Linked DNA regions of Arabidopsis thaliana. The protein of the gene in region 1 interacts with the protein of each later gene in a pairwise test. Each region holds a gene or a part of one and is shown in the gene's direction. Other genes may lie near its edges.

The links. Proteins that work in one complex are often made in the same cells at the same time.
Region 2: the proteins of KNAT7 (region 1) and PAP1 interact in a two-hybrid assay, tested with the Arabidopsis thaliana proteins (2 studies listed by BioGRID, with this or other methods).
Region 3: the proteins of KNAT7 (region 1) and OFP4 interact in a two-hybrid assay, tested with the Arabidopsis thaliana proteins (2 studies listed by BioGRID, with this or other methods).

The regions. Positions count from the first base shown.
Region 1 is NC_003070.9:23,334,557-23,341,469, forward strand, and holds KNAT7 (homeobox knotted-like protein), read left to right. Parts: upstream 1-2,610; 5' UTR 2,611-2,911; coding exon 2,912-3,193; intron 3,194-4,091; coding exon 4,092-4,212; intron 4,213-4,766; coding exon 4,767-4,966; intron 4,967-5,060; coding exon 5,061-5,192; intron 5,193-5,651; coding exon 5,652-5,792; 3' UTR 5,793-6,136; downstream 6,137-6,913. Other genes in the region: AT1G62981 (transmembrane protein, putative (DUF1191)), read left to right, coding at 1-268. UniProt on the Arabidopsis thaliana protein: May be involved in secondary cell wall biosynthesis.
Region 2 is NC_003070.9:21,232,427-21,237,453, reverse strand, and holds PAP1 (production of anthocyanin pigment 1), read left to right. Parts: upstream 1-2,161; 5' UTR 2,162-2,364; coding exon 2,365-2,485; intron 2,486-3,025; coding exon 3,026-3,155; intron 3,156-3,244; coding exon 3,245-3,740; 3' UTR 3,741-3,899; downstream 3,900-5,027.
Region 3 is NC_003070.9:2,123,548-2,127,901, reverse strand, and holds OFP4 (ovate family protein 4), read left to right. Parts: upstream 1-1,999; 5' UTR 2,000-2,100; coding exon 2,101-3,048; 3' UTR 3,049-3,226; downstream 3,227-4,354. Other genes in the region: AT1G06925 (endonuclease/glycosyl hydrolase), read left to right, coding at 1-198; AT1G06923 (transcription repressor OFP17-like protein), read right to left, coding at 504-817, 902-1,100.

The DNA.
Region 1 (6,913 bases):
GGAGAAGATCGGACGGTGGAGGAAGGTTGTTGGAGGGCTTGTTGGGTCTGTGACGGTGGGGGTGGTGCTTTTAGGGCTGGTGGTGGCGGCTGCTGTAGTGACGGCAAAGAAAAGGAGAAGAAGGGCAAAAAGGGAAGAAATGGAGAGAAAAGCTTATGAAGAAGAAGCTTTTAGAGTAGTGTCAATGGTGGGGCATTCTAGGGCTTTCGTTGCTTCTGCTACAAGGACTTCTCCAGGTTTCATGGAATATGAGTTTGTTCCTAATTAATTAATTATATTTACGTGTGATTCCGTTTTTGTGGATTGTTTTCTTTTTTTTTTCTTTTGTAAAAACGGTTTTAATTTATGTTAAAATGCATGTTGTTGGGGGTTTTGGGACATATATATATATTTCGTTGGTGACAAGTAAGGTACGTATGGTGATGATTTTTTCTTTCTTTCACGGTGATGAATTTACAAGGTAACACCGCTAGTGGCCTAGTAGTAAGTAGTAACTATTAAAGAAAATCAAATGAGCAAAGTTACATTCAAAGTCATTGATAAACAATAAAACATGGTCATTTTTTACACCAAAAAAAACAACATGATCGTTGCCTACACGTTAATTAACGAGGCATCAAGAATTATAATTTGATGAAATATGCCGTCTGGCGTCTTCATAAGAATACAATATGTTTGATGAAAATCTACCTCTAATCAAATGGTAGTTTTTTTTTTTTTTTGAGGAGTCACATAGCTAGGAAACGTTTTATGCTAGTAATATCACACACGGAAACAATTACGAACCCATGTGTACAAGTGTTTAGGCTTTGAGACCTTAATGAAGTGCCCAATGAGAATTATTTTTAGGTCCACCAAACTCACAATATTATATGGCCCGTACATTAAATCACTAAAACTTAGTATCGTGTCACTAATAGTATCTCATTGTTCTCTGATTAATGGCCGCATTATTATAAGTTTTTTTTTGTGTCAAAAGCATTATTATAAGTTGAGAAGTCGTTTTCATAGGACCACAAATTGTTTCAGATGTGAGATGTCTTAAATCTTAGGCTTAAGAGAACGACAATTCTGTCCCTCTTTTCTTTGTTCGACCAACTCTGTCTTTGTCCCTCTTTATTTTGTTTCTTTCATTTTTCTATACGAACGAATATTTTTGATGTCATTGCGTAAAACAAAAGGGAATTTGTACATAACTACATAAAAAGGGAGAAATGGAAAGTAGTTTTTCCATATTGGTGAAGGCGTGCATTATTCTCTTTTTCATTTAATAATATGCAAAATCCTCTTTTAATTTGTATTTTTTATTTTTGTTTATAGAATATATTATGTGCTATTATTTTAGTTTTTTTTGTGTCATGTATTATTGGCATTATTAAAAATATTTGATCTAATCCTATTACGATATAAACTACATGCAACATATGCAATTACAACGACCAAGGATTCCATTGTTATGATGAAATATTATTTTAGTTTTTGTAATTAATTGCAGTTTTTTTTTTGCAAAAACTTAAGACTACTTGGATGGCTATTGGCTCCAATATGCCAAGCCGGAGGAAAACCAGAAGATTTAAGAATATATTTTTTTAAACGATGAAGTGGAAAAATAATTTTTTTAACGTCCAACATGTATGTTCAGAAGATTTGTAATTCTGAACGGAACTATTACATGACGTTACAAAAAACCATGCCACAAGAGTATCCGGACTTAACAACGTTTCACAACACATCAATTTTTTTTTTTTCAGTTTTATGGATATTTCTGAAATTCTAGCTAAAAACTATTAGTATATATTAAAGTTCATATATCAAACTATTGTTTGTGTGCTATATTAACTTCATATCAAACTAGGAAAAATATGAAAGCATTTTTCTATCTATCAAATAATACTGCAATTAAATTATCAGAGTGTTACTGTTTTAAGGTTATATGACTAAGAAATGGTGCATCAAAGCTGTATCACATTTTGTCCAAAAAAATTTAACTGTATCACGTAATTGAGTATTTAATATTTTAAAAGAATAACTAATTATATTTGTTCTTTACCAAAAGAAGAAAACAAATATACTATATTTCTATACTATTAAATAGTATTATCAATTAGGTGTTAATACTATTTGTTAAGTGGGCGTTAGAGGATTAGGTGTGTCTACCGGTCCTGTCGTTAAAGGTGGGAAGATATTTTATTTTCCTCATTCTTTTTCAAAATTTCAACTAATTTTTAAGTTCAAGTTGTTGATCACTTATTAGGTCTTAAATCATTGTCACGAGAAGGAAAATAAAAGTGTTTTTAATTTTTATTTTAAGTTTACATTTTATATACATACATATACACGTATTTATGATTTTTGTAAAGCACGTTGTTAACGTGCACTTTTTTCATAACTTTACGTCAAGGTATATATCAGCATATTGTGGAATCAAACATATATATAGTAGCAGTTTTCTAGACTAAAGTAATTCAGATTAATTGTAAAGATAACAATCACCGTATAAAACAATCAACGTCCGTGTGTTTGTATTCACATATCTGATGAAAATTAGTAATTCTAGTTTTCAGTCTTTCGATTAACAATACAAAAATAATACTTTCAATATAATTTGATCTATGTAAAAATAATATATGGTATGGCCGGACCAGACCCGTGTATAACAAACATTGTTTTAAATGTATTTTGTATACAAATAAGACAAAATAATCTATAAACAAATAATGTATATTTTTAGAAAAGAATGGAGTGAAAAACAATTAAAGGGGAAAGAAATCAGGACAGCTTTATATAGGTTGATTTCATCTGACAATTCTCTCTCTCTCTCTTTTTCTAATCATACGAACACAATCTGCTTCAAGAATTAGGGTTTTGATCAGACACAAAAAGTATCTCTCTCCGGTCTTGTGTCAAGGTTATGCAAGAAGCGGCACTAGGTATGATGGGAGCCACCGTAGGCGGAGACGGAGACACCGCGGTCGTGGCGGAGCAGAATAGACAGTTGAAAGGTGAGATAGCGACACATCCGATGTATGAGCAATTATTAGCCGCACACGTGGCGTGTTTAAGAGTAGCTACTCCAATAGATCAACTTCCGATCATTGAAGCTCAGCTTTCTCAATCTCATCATCTTCTCCGTTCTTACGCTTCCACGGCCGTTGGATACCATCATGATCGTCACGAGCTCGATAATTTCTTGGTACGTTTGAATATAAATTTATTAGTTATATTTTAAAAAATAATCTTGTTTGGTTAAATTACTTACAAGTTCTGTTTCTATCTTTTTTCATTTGAAAGTTTTTTTTTGATGGTTTCTAGTGGACTAACTTTGAATGAAGTTATGATTACTAACCAATCTCTGTTGGGAAATTATGTTTCAAACAAATTATGTTTTTTTCAATGATTTTCGTGTTTTACTTTTTACAAGATCGTTGGGAGTTTTATCGATCGAAGATGTAAACCTTTTGTCAATATATCAACAATTTCTATAAATTTTATAATTACTAATTCCTCTTGTGGGAAGTTATACTTCAAACAAATTATGTTTTTTTCCAATGATTTAAGTTATTGGTATTTTTTTACCTGATTTTTGTGAAGAAGTGGTTTTGTTCAACTTTCATGGAAATTTATGTATCTTCACACGAATGTTCAAATGTATAATACACACACATAGATGTAGATATGGTTTTTTGTATAGTTAGGTGCTAAATTTCACATAGAGTGAGTCAATGTTAAATGTCATTTTGTAATTAAATTGAAATTCTATTTAAACTTTGAATATTATCATGTTAGTTACGATTGATTTTCTACTCCGACCTAAAATTTGCAATTGCATTAAAGTTGGAATTGATATTGCAACTATAATTTTGGAATTAGCTTGTGAAATGTTCCAAAAAAATTCGGTTTTATTTATATTTATTTAAGTTAGGTAGAAAATAGGACTATATAATGATCTAACCGCTCAAAACACACCACACCAGAAGCACATATTTATATGTGTGTATGCATATATGTGGAAAATGTTTACACATTGAATAATTATATGAAATGTGAGAGGATATATAAAACATTTAACAATTATAATTAATTGGAAACAGGCACAATATGTAATGGTGTTGTGTAGCTTCAAAGAACAGCTGCAACAGCACGTGAGGGTTCATGCCGTCGAAGCTGTTATGGCTTGCCGTGAAATTGAGAACAACCTTCATTCTCTTACAGGTTCTTTTCTTTTCCACTTTTTTAATGGTATTTTTTATAACCCAATTAAAAAACATAACTTCATGATAATTACATGTTATTATATATACCACATAGCTATAGAATCAGAAAGTACTTAAGATATATATAATTAAAATTCCTGTTAAAAATTAGCGATAGTTAAAACAAATAATAGAGTTAGGTATATCTAAAGGTTCTTGCTGATCATACCAGATATGAACAACTAGTAAACATATTAAATGTAAGGTGTTGGAAGATGATCAGGAAGAGTATATTATATGCCCACACAATAAGAAATAGAGATTTTATTTGTGCTTATATAGTTATATTATATGATTAGTCTAAAGATGAAATTTCTTAATTATACGAAATTATTAAAAATATTTATTTTTGCACTGATGACCACGTAAAGCGTGGGATGTATTGATTAGGATTATTGTATGCGTAAGGGCATATCAGGCTTGAGCCTAAGTTTGGGCTTGGGCTTGACGTCTAAATCTTGTAGTTTGACTGTTGGAGTAACATTTCGTTTAAAACGTTCTGTATTCTTGTAGGAGCAACTTTAGGAGAAGGGTCGGGTGCGACTATGTCGGAGGATGAGGATGATCTTCCGATGGATTTCTCGTCAGATAATTCCGGCGTTGATTTTAGCGGCGGCCACGATATGACGGGATTTGGTCCGTTGCTACCGACTGAATCGGAAAGATCCCTTATGGAAAGAGTCAGACAAGAACTCAAACTAGAACTCAAACAGGTATAATTAACTAATATGTTATGATTCACAATAGTAATACAGTTATTTTACTATTTATTTTCTTGTTATGACGTTTGTTTATTTTTCGGATAAGGGTTTTAAATCGAGAATCGAAGATGTAAGAGAAGAGATAATGAGGAAGAGAAGGGCTGGGAAATTGCCAGGAGACACAACTACTGTCTTGAAAAATTGGTGGCAACAACATTGCAAATGGCCTTACCCTACGGTGAGTACTCTCTATATTTTACGAACAACAAATATAGTTTCCGTCTAATTGTTTGTTTGGGTTTACGTTTTCATGAAATAATATGATAATCATTATAACATGAAACAACAAATGAAGATAGATATGTAAATGCAAAGAAACAATCAAGACCCATTTTGGTTACACTCAAAGTCACAACATGCATTTTTTTTCTATTCTTCAAACATACTGAATTTGTTACTAATACTCAAAAACACTATACATCTCTCTCCCGTTCAATATTTGGCACAAGCCAAAAAGGTGGACTACAGTCTAAAGTTGCATGCTATAGTGGAAAAGAAATAGCCTTTGACGCTATCAGATCTGCACATGCATTGGCCTCTCTTCGTTGAAACTGAAACTGATTGTTTTTGTTTTCTTTCCTAAAATGTCATTAACAACAACAAATTTATAATGTAAAAAAATATGTGTCTTGAACAGGAAGATGACAAGGCAAAATTGGTGGAGGAGACAGGATTGCAGTTGAAGCAAATCAACAATTGGTTCATTAACCAACGCAAGAGGAATTGGCACAACAACTCTCACTCCCTCACTTCCTTGAAGTCCAAGCGCAAACACTAATCTCTTCTTACTATATTAGTTACTACCTCTACATATATTCATACTAATTACACTGCTAAGACATGCATGATACATACGTAATTCATGTTACTGATAATAACGAGGTGTGATCATTAATATCATGTACTTACTTAGCTTATTAGATCCACCGACTACTATATGATTTGTGCGTTGCGTGATTACTGGTTGTTACTAGATTGTAATTCATTTTGTTTGTATTGTGCATTCAAATTTATCTTTTTGGTAAGAACACTGATTTTGTAACGTGTTTTCCGTGGATGACTAGACCATCATTTGGAAATATAAAGTAATGATGCCGACAAAAAAGGCAGTGTTTTATAAAATATAAGCCATATCATAATATCTTTGGACCGATCAATGAAAGAAATCGTCCATAAAAATGGATTAGTTTAATTCCAGTTTAGATTATTGGTATTCTCAAAAACTAATTAACGTATAGTTTTCTAGTTCTTTATTTGATACCAAGATTTGTGTAACTTAATATTTTCAAACGAGTTTACAAACACAACTAGACCGAGAAATAGATATATGATGTATTCATTAAAAAAGAAAAAATAGCTCTTGAGATTGAGAACTTGGGATCTTACTATCTTAGAAAAGTCACCACATGCCGCCATCATTTGTCCACTACGATTCAGACAGAAGATCCGATCTGTTTATATATATATATATAAAAGTAAAGACATTACTTTATGCCTTATGGTAACCCCCGATTACTATAACATTAAACTACTAATTAATTTGACAAAAGAAGTTGGACTGACTGCTTAATAAATGAATGTTAGTGACATACGTATATATTTTCGATAACGTGTATGGTATTTAAGGGCAGGGGGATTTGTACATTTGGAGTTTTATATGCTTAATATATCAAATGTTGTATAGATCCAGATCTTTGGTTTAAACCTCATTAGTTTCGATGTCAAATCAATTACAATATATATAGAAACTTTGCAATTACAATATTTAGTACCAAAAATCGGTGGAATTATGTACATATGAATATGATATAAATCACTACATTAATTTGTAATTGAGATGTATCTGTATATTTATTGAAATGATACTATGTTTAAAGGGTTACCGATTCGTTAACGGGT
Region 2 (5,027 bases), 2.1 Mb from region 1:
GGATTAATAACCTGATTAATAAATAAAAAGTGTTATATTTTTAAGCATTGTATGCATTTACTTTATCATAGTTGTCTTGTTTTTAAGAGTTAAAAAATAATGATGAACAATTTCACGGACAACGATTCCACGATAAAGCTTTCCCTGCAACACTCAGATTTTCTAAAGACGGTTTTGCATTGCGTTTTCTGGGATTCGAAACCCAAACATGATGTACAAGTATTAATGAACTCTTAGTTAACCATTAGATTAAAAATATTTTCACTATTAATTTTCTCTTAAAAATATTAATAATTTTTTGAAATCAAAAATTATAGTTATTTTATTTTAATAAACGAGAAACACTACAAAAAAAGTTAACTGCATTTAGATAATTTAATAAACTAAAATATCCACATAAAAATTTCAAATTTATCAAAAATAAAACATCAATTTGTTTTTTGTTTTAAATTAAAGATTTGCTATTGATTGCATAAGGAAGAAAACTTTACAAAGCCGAAAGGCCTAAGAGCCCAACACACACAAAAGAAGAACCATTTTGGATCAAGGGAACCGACCATGGGTATTAGAAGTAGTGGTATAAAGCCCATCATATCCCAACACATAACCCACGAATGTTTAATATTAAAAGTTTGTTGTTCGGCTCATGATTAGCGATGATCATACAGAAAGTTTGTATCTAATACGTGCCTTGAATTTTATGTGTACAACAAACAAATTAAATTATTCAAAACCATAAATTATAAAAAATAATTACAGAAATAAAACTATATTAAGAGCGAGCCTACCATCCGGTGTGCAACTTTCTAGTTTATATACAGTGGCGGATCAACGTTAATGAGGCAAATTGGTTCAAATTCATCTAAATAAGACTAGAGTTCACAGGTTCGATTCCTCCTTATAACAATTTGCTCCCACCAATTTTTTTTGCTGGGTCCGCCCCTGGTTATATATATACTTCTACACCAGGTTTGGGTTCGAGTCCACACATAATTAACGACACAATTATAGTGCACGATAGAATGAACTAAAACAGCTAGAGCGTAGAGGGCTCATTGTCTATAAAAATCCTTCGTTAACTTGCAAGAAACCAAGAGTAGAGGGCTCACACTTAAGTCTCCTACATGACGATTATATTTCGTCAAAAAGAAGCAATTAGTTAGCTTTACAGCATATCATTTCGCCTAGGTTTTCCATCGTACACGTAAATTTTCATGCAAGAAAGCAGAAATATACAAATACTAACTTTTAGATACTGAAAAATGAGATCAGATTCTAGTCAAATTTTGTTAAAAGTATTTATAAATTTAAATTGCAAGTCCTCAAAAAGTACGACTAAAAATGCTTTTCTTAGAAAATGATAATAAACCGGCGTTTTATATATAAGTGTTTCTTTTTCTCTTCTGTCCAGAAGTAAATCATTAAGAACCAATATGGCTTTTCTTAAACTAATCTCCGTGATAATCAAATCTTTGATCATTCTCCACACAATCCCATCAACAACATCGATCTCACTAGATGCACCAACAATGATTCTAATCGGCACTACTAACTATAGAGATAGTTGTCCCAAAAAAAAAAAAAAAAACTAACTAGAGAGATAAATCATATTCAATACATGTACTATTTCTACTATACTTAAGAAAATTTGTATACCACTATCTTAACTCTTAACACTGAACATACTATACACTATCTTAACTCCCAACTCTTGTAAAAGAATATCTAATTTTAAGAAAAGACTTCAAATGCTTGTTAAATTTCTAGTGAAGATGCACATTCTAAAAACTGGTAAAATGGTAAGAAAAAAATATATAAAAAAATAGCCTTATTAAAATTTATATCTCCTATTTCTCTATCCAAACTACACGGATGAAGCTTATTGTTATTCATCCACCCTTTTTCTCAATTCTGTCCTATTTCTTGTGCATGAAACTTCTCCATCTTGTAATCGGATAAATCATACCCAAATTTTTTCTTTCTGAAAACATATATACCCGAACATTAATTACTATCGTCCTTTCTCCTAATTTTGTTAAGAAACATGTTTGTTTGTTTTTAGTACTGAAAAAGGATGGAGATACTTGCTAGATCCTATGAACCTTTTCTCTCTAGGACAAATCAGTAACCAAACAATAACTTAGCAAATTAAGCACGACAGCTAATACATAAAATGTGGATATCAAACATGCACGTCACTTCCTTTTTTCCGTCACGTGTTTTTATAAATTTTCTCACATACTCACACTCTCTATAAGACCTCCAATCATTTGTGAAACCATACTATATATACCCTCTTCCTTGACCAATTTACTTATACCTTTTACAATTTGTTTATATATTTTACGTATCTATCTTTGTTCCATGGAGGGTTCGTCCAAAGGGCTGCGAAAAGGTGCTTGGACTACTGAAGAAGATAGTCTCTTGAGACAGTGCATTAATAAGTATGGAGAAGGCAAATGGCACCAAGTTCCTGTAAGAGCTGGTATGTTATTTACGAACACACACACACTAACCGACACACACACACACAAATATGAATATCTATAATCACTACCAATAGTCTTCGTTCTCTCTATTTTCTATTCAGAAAATTGATTAATACCCGGTATTAAAAAAAAAAAAAAAAATTTGTTTAAATGAGTACAAATCATTGTTACAACTTCTTTATGCTGTTTTTACATGCTATTAAAGGTTGTGCATGAAAATTTCTTTTGCTGTTCGTATTTGTTTTACACCTAAACGAAGATTTTTACTTAAAATTAAAGAAAAAAAATTATACTAATTTTAGTTACGTTGCGTATTGCTAGCTTCTCCTATAAAGTCGTTCAAATTTTTACACGCTTGTCTTCTTGTAAATGAATTCGTGGGAAAATTTTGTATGAACACGTGTTTCTGTGTTGGAACAGTTCTTTATTTTTATTGGTGTGCATAGATTCTTCCTGATAAAATATATAGAAGGAGACAAATAAAAAACAGTCTTAGTATGTAGGTATAATCAAAGAATCAATTATTGGTTTTGTAGGGCTAAACCGGTGCAGGAAAAGTTGTAGATTAAGATGGTTGAACTATTTGAAGCCAAGTATCAAGAGAGGAAAACTTAGCTCTGATGAAGTCGATCTTCTTCTTCGCCTTCATAGGCTTCTAGGGAATAGGTATTAATTGTTACCTCGATACTACTTAACTCGGAGAGTCGTCATAAGTTAATACTAATAACATATGTATATTTTCTTACAATTGTTAGGTGGTCTTTAATTGCTGGAAGATTACCTGGTCGGACCGCAAATGACGTCAAGAATTACTGGAACACTCATCTGAGTAAGAAACATGAACCGTGTTGTAAGATAAAGATGAAAAAGAGAGACATTACGCCCATTCCTACAACACCGGCACTAAAAAACAATGTTTATAAGCCTCGACCTCGATCCTTCACAGTTAACAACGACTGCAACCATCTCAATGCCCCACCAAAAGTTGACGTTAATCCTCCATGCCTTGGACTTAACATCAATAATGTTTGTGACAATAGTATCATATACAACAAAGATAAGAAGAAAGACCAACTAGTGAATAATTTGATTGATGGAGATAATATGTGGTTAGAGAAATTCCTAGAGGAAAGCCAAGAGGTAGATATTTTGGTTCCTGAAGCGACGACAACAGAAAAGGGGGACACCTTGGCTTTTGACGTTGATCAACTTTGGAGTCTTTTCGATGGAGAGACTGTGAAATTTGATTAGTGTTTCGAACATTTGTTTGCGTTTGTGTATAGGTTTGCTTTCACCTTTTAATTTGTGTGTTTTGATAAATAAGCTAATAGTTTTTAGCATTTTAATGAAATATTTCAAGTTTCCGTGTTTACATTTTGAAGAAAATAAAATATTAATATATTCTGAAGATTTTTGTTTTTTTTTGGTTATCTACATGACAACAGTAAAAATAGAAAAAAAATCTTATTTTTTGAAAAAGGTATGTATCCGGTGTTTAGAATACTTTCCGAAATCAAACCGCCTATATTTCTAATCACTATGTAAAATTGTAAACCAATTGGGTTAAAACTCAACTAACAAACTTTCTAAATAAATGTCATTTTTGTTTTCAAATATGATTGAACTCGGATTTAGGAGTTTTACCCTTCAGTACCAAACCTTCTCTACCGACCATGTATGGTTGGGCAAATGTCATGTTTTACAATGTTTAGATTACTAAACACTTTGGTTGAGAAGGCAATGCTTTATTTATATATTCTGAAGTCATGTTTTAGTGTTATTTTTATTTATTTTTAAATGCATAGATTGTTAACGTGCAGATTCTCATATGGGCTTAGTTTCTGGATTTTGATTATCAAAACCGTATTCCACTCTTAAATGATTACGACAAAAAAATCAATACTACTAACAAACCTATTTCCCAGTTATTAATTAGTCAATAACAATTGTCAAATTTAATAACGTACTTGCTAGTAATAAAGTTTTAACGACGATCATAGATAGGTTTTTGAAACCCATACTCGCAGAAGTTCTGATACAAAAATTTGTACTCCCTCTATTTCAAAATATTAAATGTTTTAGATAAAAGCACAATGTTTAAGAAACTAATTAATCTTGAGTTTCTTACATTATAAACATAAATTAATATCTATTAAAAATAATTTGACCAATGATATAACTTACAGCATAATATAAATAGTTAAAAAAAAACTGTTTACTTTAATAATTTGCATAACAACTAGCTAGTCTGGTCCAAGAACGGTAGTAGGATGAGATTTTAGAAGGTCGTAATGTGTAAGACTAATAATCATGCGATAGACGATCATGCATGAATTATTTTATGTAATACTTATATGGTTCCAAAATCTATAAGAACCCTCAATTATAAAAGTAATATCTATTAAATATTTAAACGATAATTTCATACGGAAAATTAATAGATAAATTCTTCTATTTGTTTTTAAATATATGTAAATGCGAAAGTGTCCCATGCAATTTTATATATTTAATCAAGTGAAAACTCGAAAACAAAAAACT
Region 3 (4,354 bases), about 21 Mb from region 1:
ATCACTGCCGTTGGCGTACTATCAGAGGTCCCTCGAGATTTCCTTGAAACCACTGGAGAGTGGAGTCAGTCTCTTTCTCAAGTCTTAGTTGTTTCTGAAACAGGTCCCACATACATGGTTTCGCTTTTCATTGACTCCCCTGATTCTAAGATTCCACGTCCACATAATACCTATGAAGACGACGAGGCTCCCCCTTGATTATTTTCCGGAGAAATAATGCCTACTACCATTGGTGAGGGAAGAAGCAACCAAACCTTGAGATTTCTCATCTTTTGAATTCTGGGGTTTACCGGAAATCTTGGTAAATAGAAATGTGAAATGTACCATCCTTTAATAATCTTTTCTTATTATCTTTTATTTCCGTGATTTAATGTAGTAAAATCAAGTTCCTGTCACTTGAAGTTGTACAACTTACAAAAAAAAAACAGAACACAGAGAAAGCTACTCTGTATCCAATGCTCTGTGTTATCATGCATATATTATAAAACCCATTTCAATGATCTTTAATCGTCATGGTCGCTTGGAAACAGGTCAGTGCAGAGCTCTCCATAGAATCTAGTCACAAGATCAATGAAGATTGGACTATTAAGATTCTTCCAATAATAGAGAAGCTCTTCCATGTCCATCAAGTCATCTATTTTCCCATCTTCAACGAACATATGGATCATATAGTTCTCGAATCTTCTGCAAGCCTCTTTCACACCATCTTCCTTTAACATATGTCTTTGACTCGTCCTCGCTTTCTTGTTCCTTTGCGTCATAGCCAAAGGAAACATCTTTCTTGAATGCAGAAGCTTGGAATCATCGATCAGACTAGCTGCAGTGGCATATTTGTAGAATAAAATTTAGATCAAAGGTACTCTATAAAATCGACAATAGTTACAAAAGAAATTGTTGTTACACGGGGAATTTCTGGGTCTGATCTGGCTCATCCTCTGCTCCTTATTAGTATTGAGAAAACAGAGACGAGACAACAAAGAAGATGATGAAGATTGTGTGGTATTGACATTGCGAAAACGAGCATGGAAGAAGGAGATGAATCTGTTGCATGATTTTGAAAGCTTTGATTTCAAGCTAATCAAACTTGACTTCAGTCTCATTCTCGATCCTTCCGAAGCTGATTTATTCTTTGTTGTTGTTGTTGTGGTATAATGTGTAGGTTTGGGAGGGTGGTTCGAGTTACGTGGGTTTCACGTCTTTTCCTTTGACACGAAGTCGTGATGGTGGAGTCCCATGAACTTGAGCCTTAATTTGAATGTTTTTTGCAAATTTAATTTTAAGCTATAATCTGACCTAGATATTGTCACATTATGAGTAGGAGGAGTGGGTAAATATATCGGTGTTTACTGGGATCAGTAGTAGTCGTTAGGGTTGTGACTGACCCCGCTCGTTTGTCGAACCCTAGCTTCAAATATGAGTCGTTGACCCAAAAAAAAAAAGCTTTGGTCAAACACACACGTGTGAGGTAGGGAGACCACAAGCTAATTGGTGAAAAGGAGACGACACGCCGAGTTTTATGCAAATATGTCTTTTATTATTCTCTACAGTTTCTTCTACACCATTATTGTTATATACTATGACTATGGCTATATTAAGAGATTGGACATGAACCTGAAATCTTGTTTAACCTCTTTTGTTGAAACCCTTTGTCACGTTCGCCGAATTATGTTTTGGAAGCAATTTACCAGAAATATTCTATTTAGTCTAATTGATACCCACCAATCGACCTACTACCGACAGACAATTTTTGAGGACACTTTGTTGCTCAATTTTCAAGTCTAATAAAACCTTTTAATTCTCAATCTCATCTACGTACACCTCAATTATTTCGATTACACCGGTTTAGATAGGATATTTTATTTAAATTTGATTTGATTTGGTTTAACTTGGTTATTCGGTTAGGGAGAGAAGCCGGAATGAGTTTGGTACAAACAAAGACATTCTATGAAGTGGATCCCAATTTTGTTCCGTCTTGTCCCTTTTACATCCCAATTCTACACTTTCTTCTCTCTTTTATTTGTCACATAGAAACTCTGCAAACTATACATATTTTTTTTCTCTCTTTTATCTGAGAAGATCACTTATTTTTTGAAATTAGAGATGAGGAACTATAAGTTAAGATTGTCAGTTATGAGCCCAAGTGAATGGTTCCACAAGCTCAAGAACATGACAAAACCTAGAAAAAAGCATTCTCTTCCTCTTTACTCCATAAACACTACCAAGAAGAGAAAACCTTCCTCTGAGTCAAAGTCTCTTCCTTACTCTTCAACTTCTTACTTCTTCAATAGGTCACGCTCACGCACATCCTTTGAATCTAGGATCCTTCAAATTTCACCAAGAAACTCTCTTCACAACATACAGAGCAAAAGAAAGACTGTTTACAAGCCTTCTCCTCCTTCCTCTTCTATTGTATCTGCAGGTTTTAACAAAACATTTCATCAAAGCCATGATTCTCTCTCTGCCTCTTCCAACTTGAAAGTCATTTCTTCTGAAGATGATATTATCATCGACATGAATAATAGAGATTTCAAGAAGAAAACTTTCAAAGAGATCACGAAGTTTGATTCAACGGAGAAAGCCTGTCGTGCAAGTAACCGAACCAAGGAAACACATATACCTCATCATCTCTCTGTGAAGGTCAGTAAAGAGAAAGAAGATGAAGAGGAAGATGCATGTCGAACCAAGAAGAAACATCAGAAAACATTAGTTTCTAGTGGAAGAAGATCATCAGCTAAATCTCCAAGGATAAAGCTCAGAGCGAGATCTCCTAGAATTCAAGTCTCGCCTCGTAGAAGCAAATCAAGATCACAGAACAAACAAATTCTTGACAGTTTTGCAGTAATCAAGAGTTCTATCGATCCGAGCAAGGATTTCAGAGAATCAATGGTGGAGATGATAGCAGAGAACAACATCAGAACCTCTAACGACATGGAGGATCTTCTAGTATGTTACCTTACCTTGAATCCCAAGGAGTATCATGATCTCATTATCAAGGTTTTCGTTCAAGTCTGGCTTGAAGTCATAAACTCTACATTTGCATCGAAGTAGAATGAACTATGATCAAAAGCTTTAAATCTCTGGTTAATTGTAGTTCTTTTAAAGAGTTTGATGTAGCCGTGGAGATTTTCTTTGCAAGACCAGTTTTTGTGTTGTCTGAATAACGTGATAAAGACATATAAATCACTCGCTTCCTTTTCGTCTCTGGTTATGGTTTGTGAAGGTAATAGAACATACTTATTCAGTAATTTAAAAATCAGTAACTAAAACATACTTATTCAATACATGCCTCATGGATGATAATAATTCAATTTTAGAATTAAAATGTGAAACAGTATGTGCTGCTAAATGTTTATGTGATATTTTCAGAAACAATATACAAATCCAAAGAGTTTTATTATATTAGTTTCATGTAGTGATAAACCTTGGATTAGATTAGGATTGATGGAGTTTAGTCATGGTAACGACTTATGTAACAAGAGCGAAAATGTCAAAAGAAAAAAAAAAGAGTCAAGAAAAGGCCAAAAGTGTAGTGACAAGAAGCCACACGGAGACAAGTCAGAAACCCATCAAGTACGGAGTAGAAATGGGTTCCAGTCCTAATGAGTAATGAAGCAGGAAACATGAAAATGGAGCCTGAATAACATAAATCGCTAGAGAGAGAAACTAACACTGACACAGAAGAGTATATGGTTAAAGAGGAAAAGCAGAGAGAGAGTTTTAAGAACCTAAAGGCTCTTTGTTGTCGTGATGAAGAAGATGAGGACCACTGTTTTGCTGCTGCTTCCCAATGCCCATCTCCTCTACCATCTATTTATACTGGTAGTACTTAGTACGGTATGGACAGACATTTCTTGGGAATTGATCAAACCACAAAACATAAACATTAAATGATGAAACACCAAACTCGATTTTGATATATAGTGCACGGGAAAGGCCGGTTTAATACAAACTGTAGGCCCATTAAAGCGAAGCCCCATTATCAACGCTATATATTTGAGGCGTTGTGATTCTTATTCTTCTCTTTCAAACAAGGATTTCGAAACCCTAATCGATATTGAGGTCAAGATTCAAACAACTCTGCTTATCTCTGAGGTAAATTTTTCGAAACCCTAATCGATATCGACTCATTGCGTAAATGAAACACCAAGACAGTAGAAAACGTAATAGAAAATAATATGAAACCGAAATGAACTGCTCGTCTACATTTGACTAAGGAACCTAGTTTACTTAACAAAACCATTCACTAGACAATCATCGTCGTACGCTATTCTATGGGTCTTAAAGACAAAAGGCTACAAAATGTTACCCAGTTTTTTTACAATACGTCATTGTTCAGCAGTTGTTGGTACTCGTC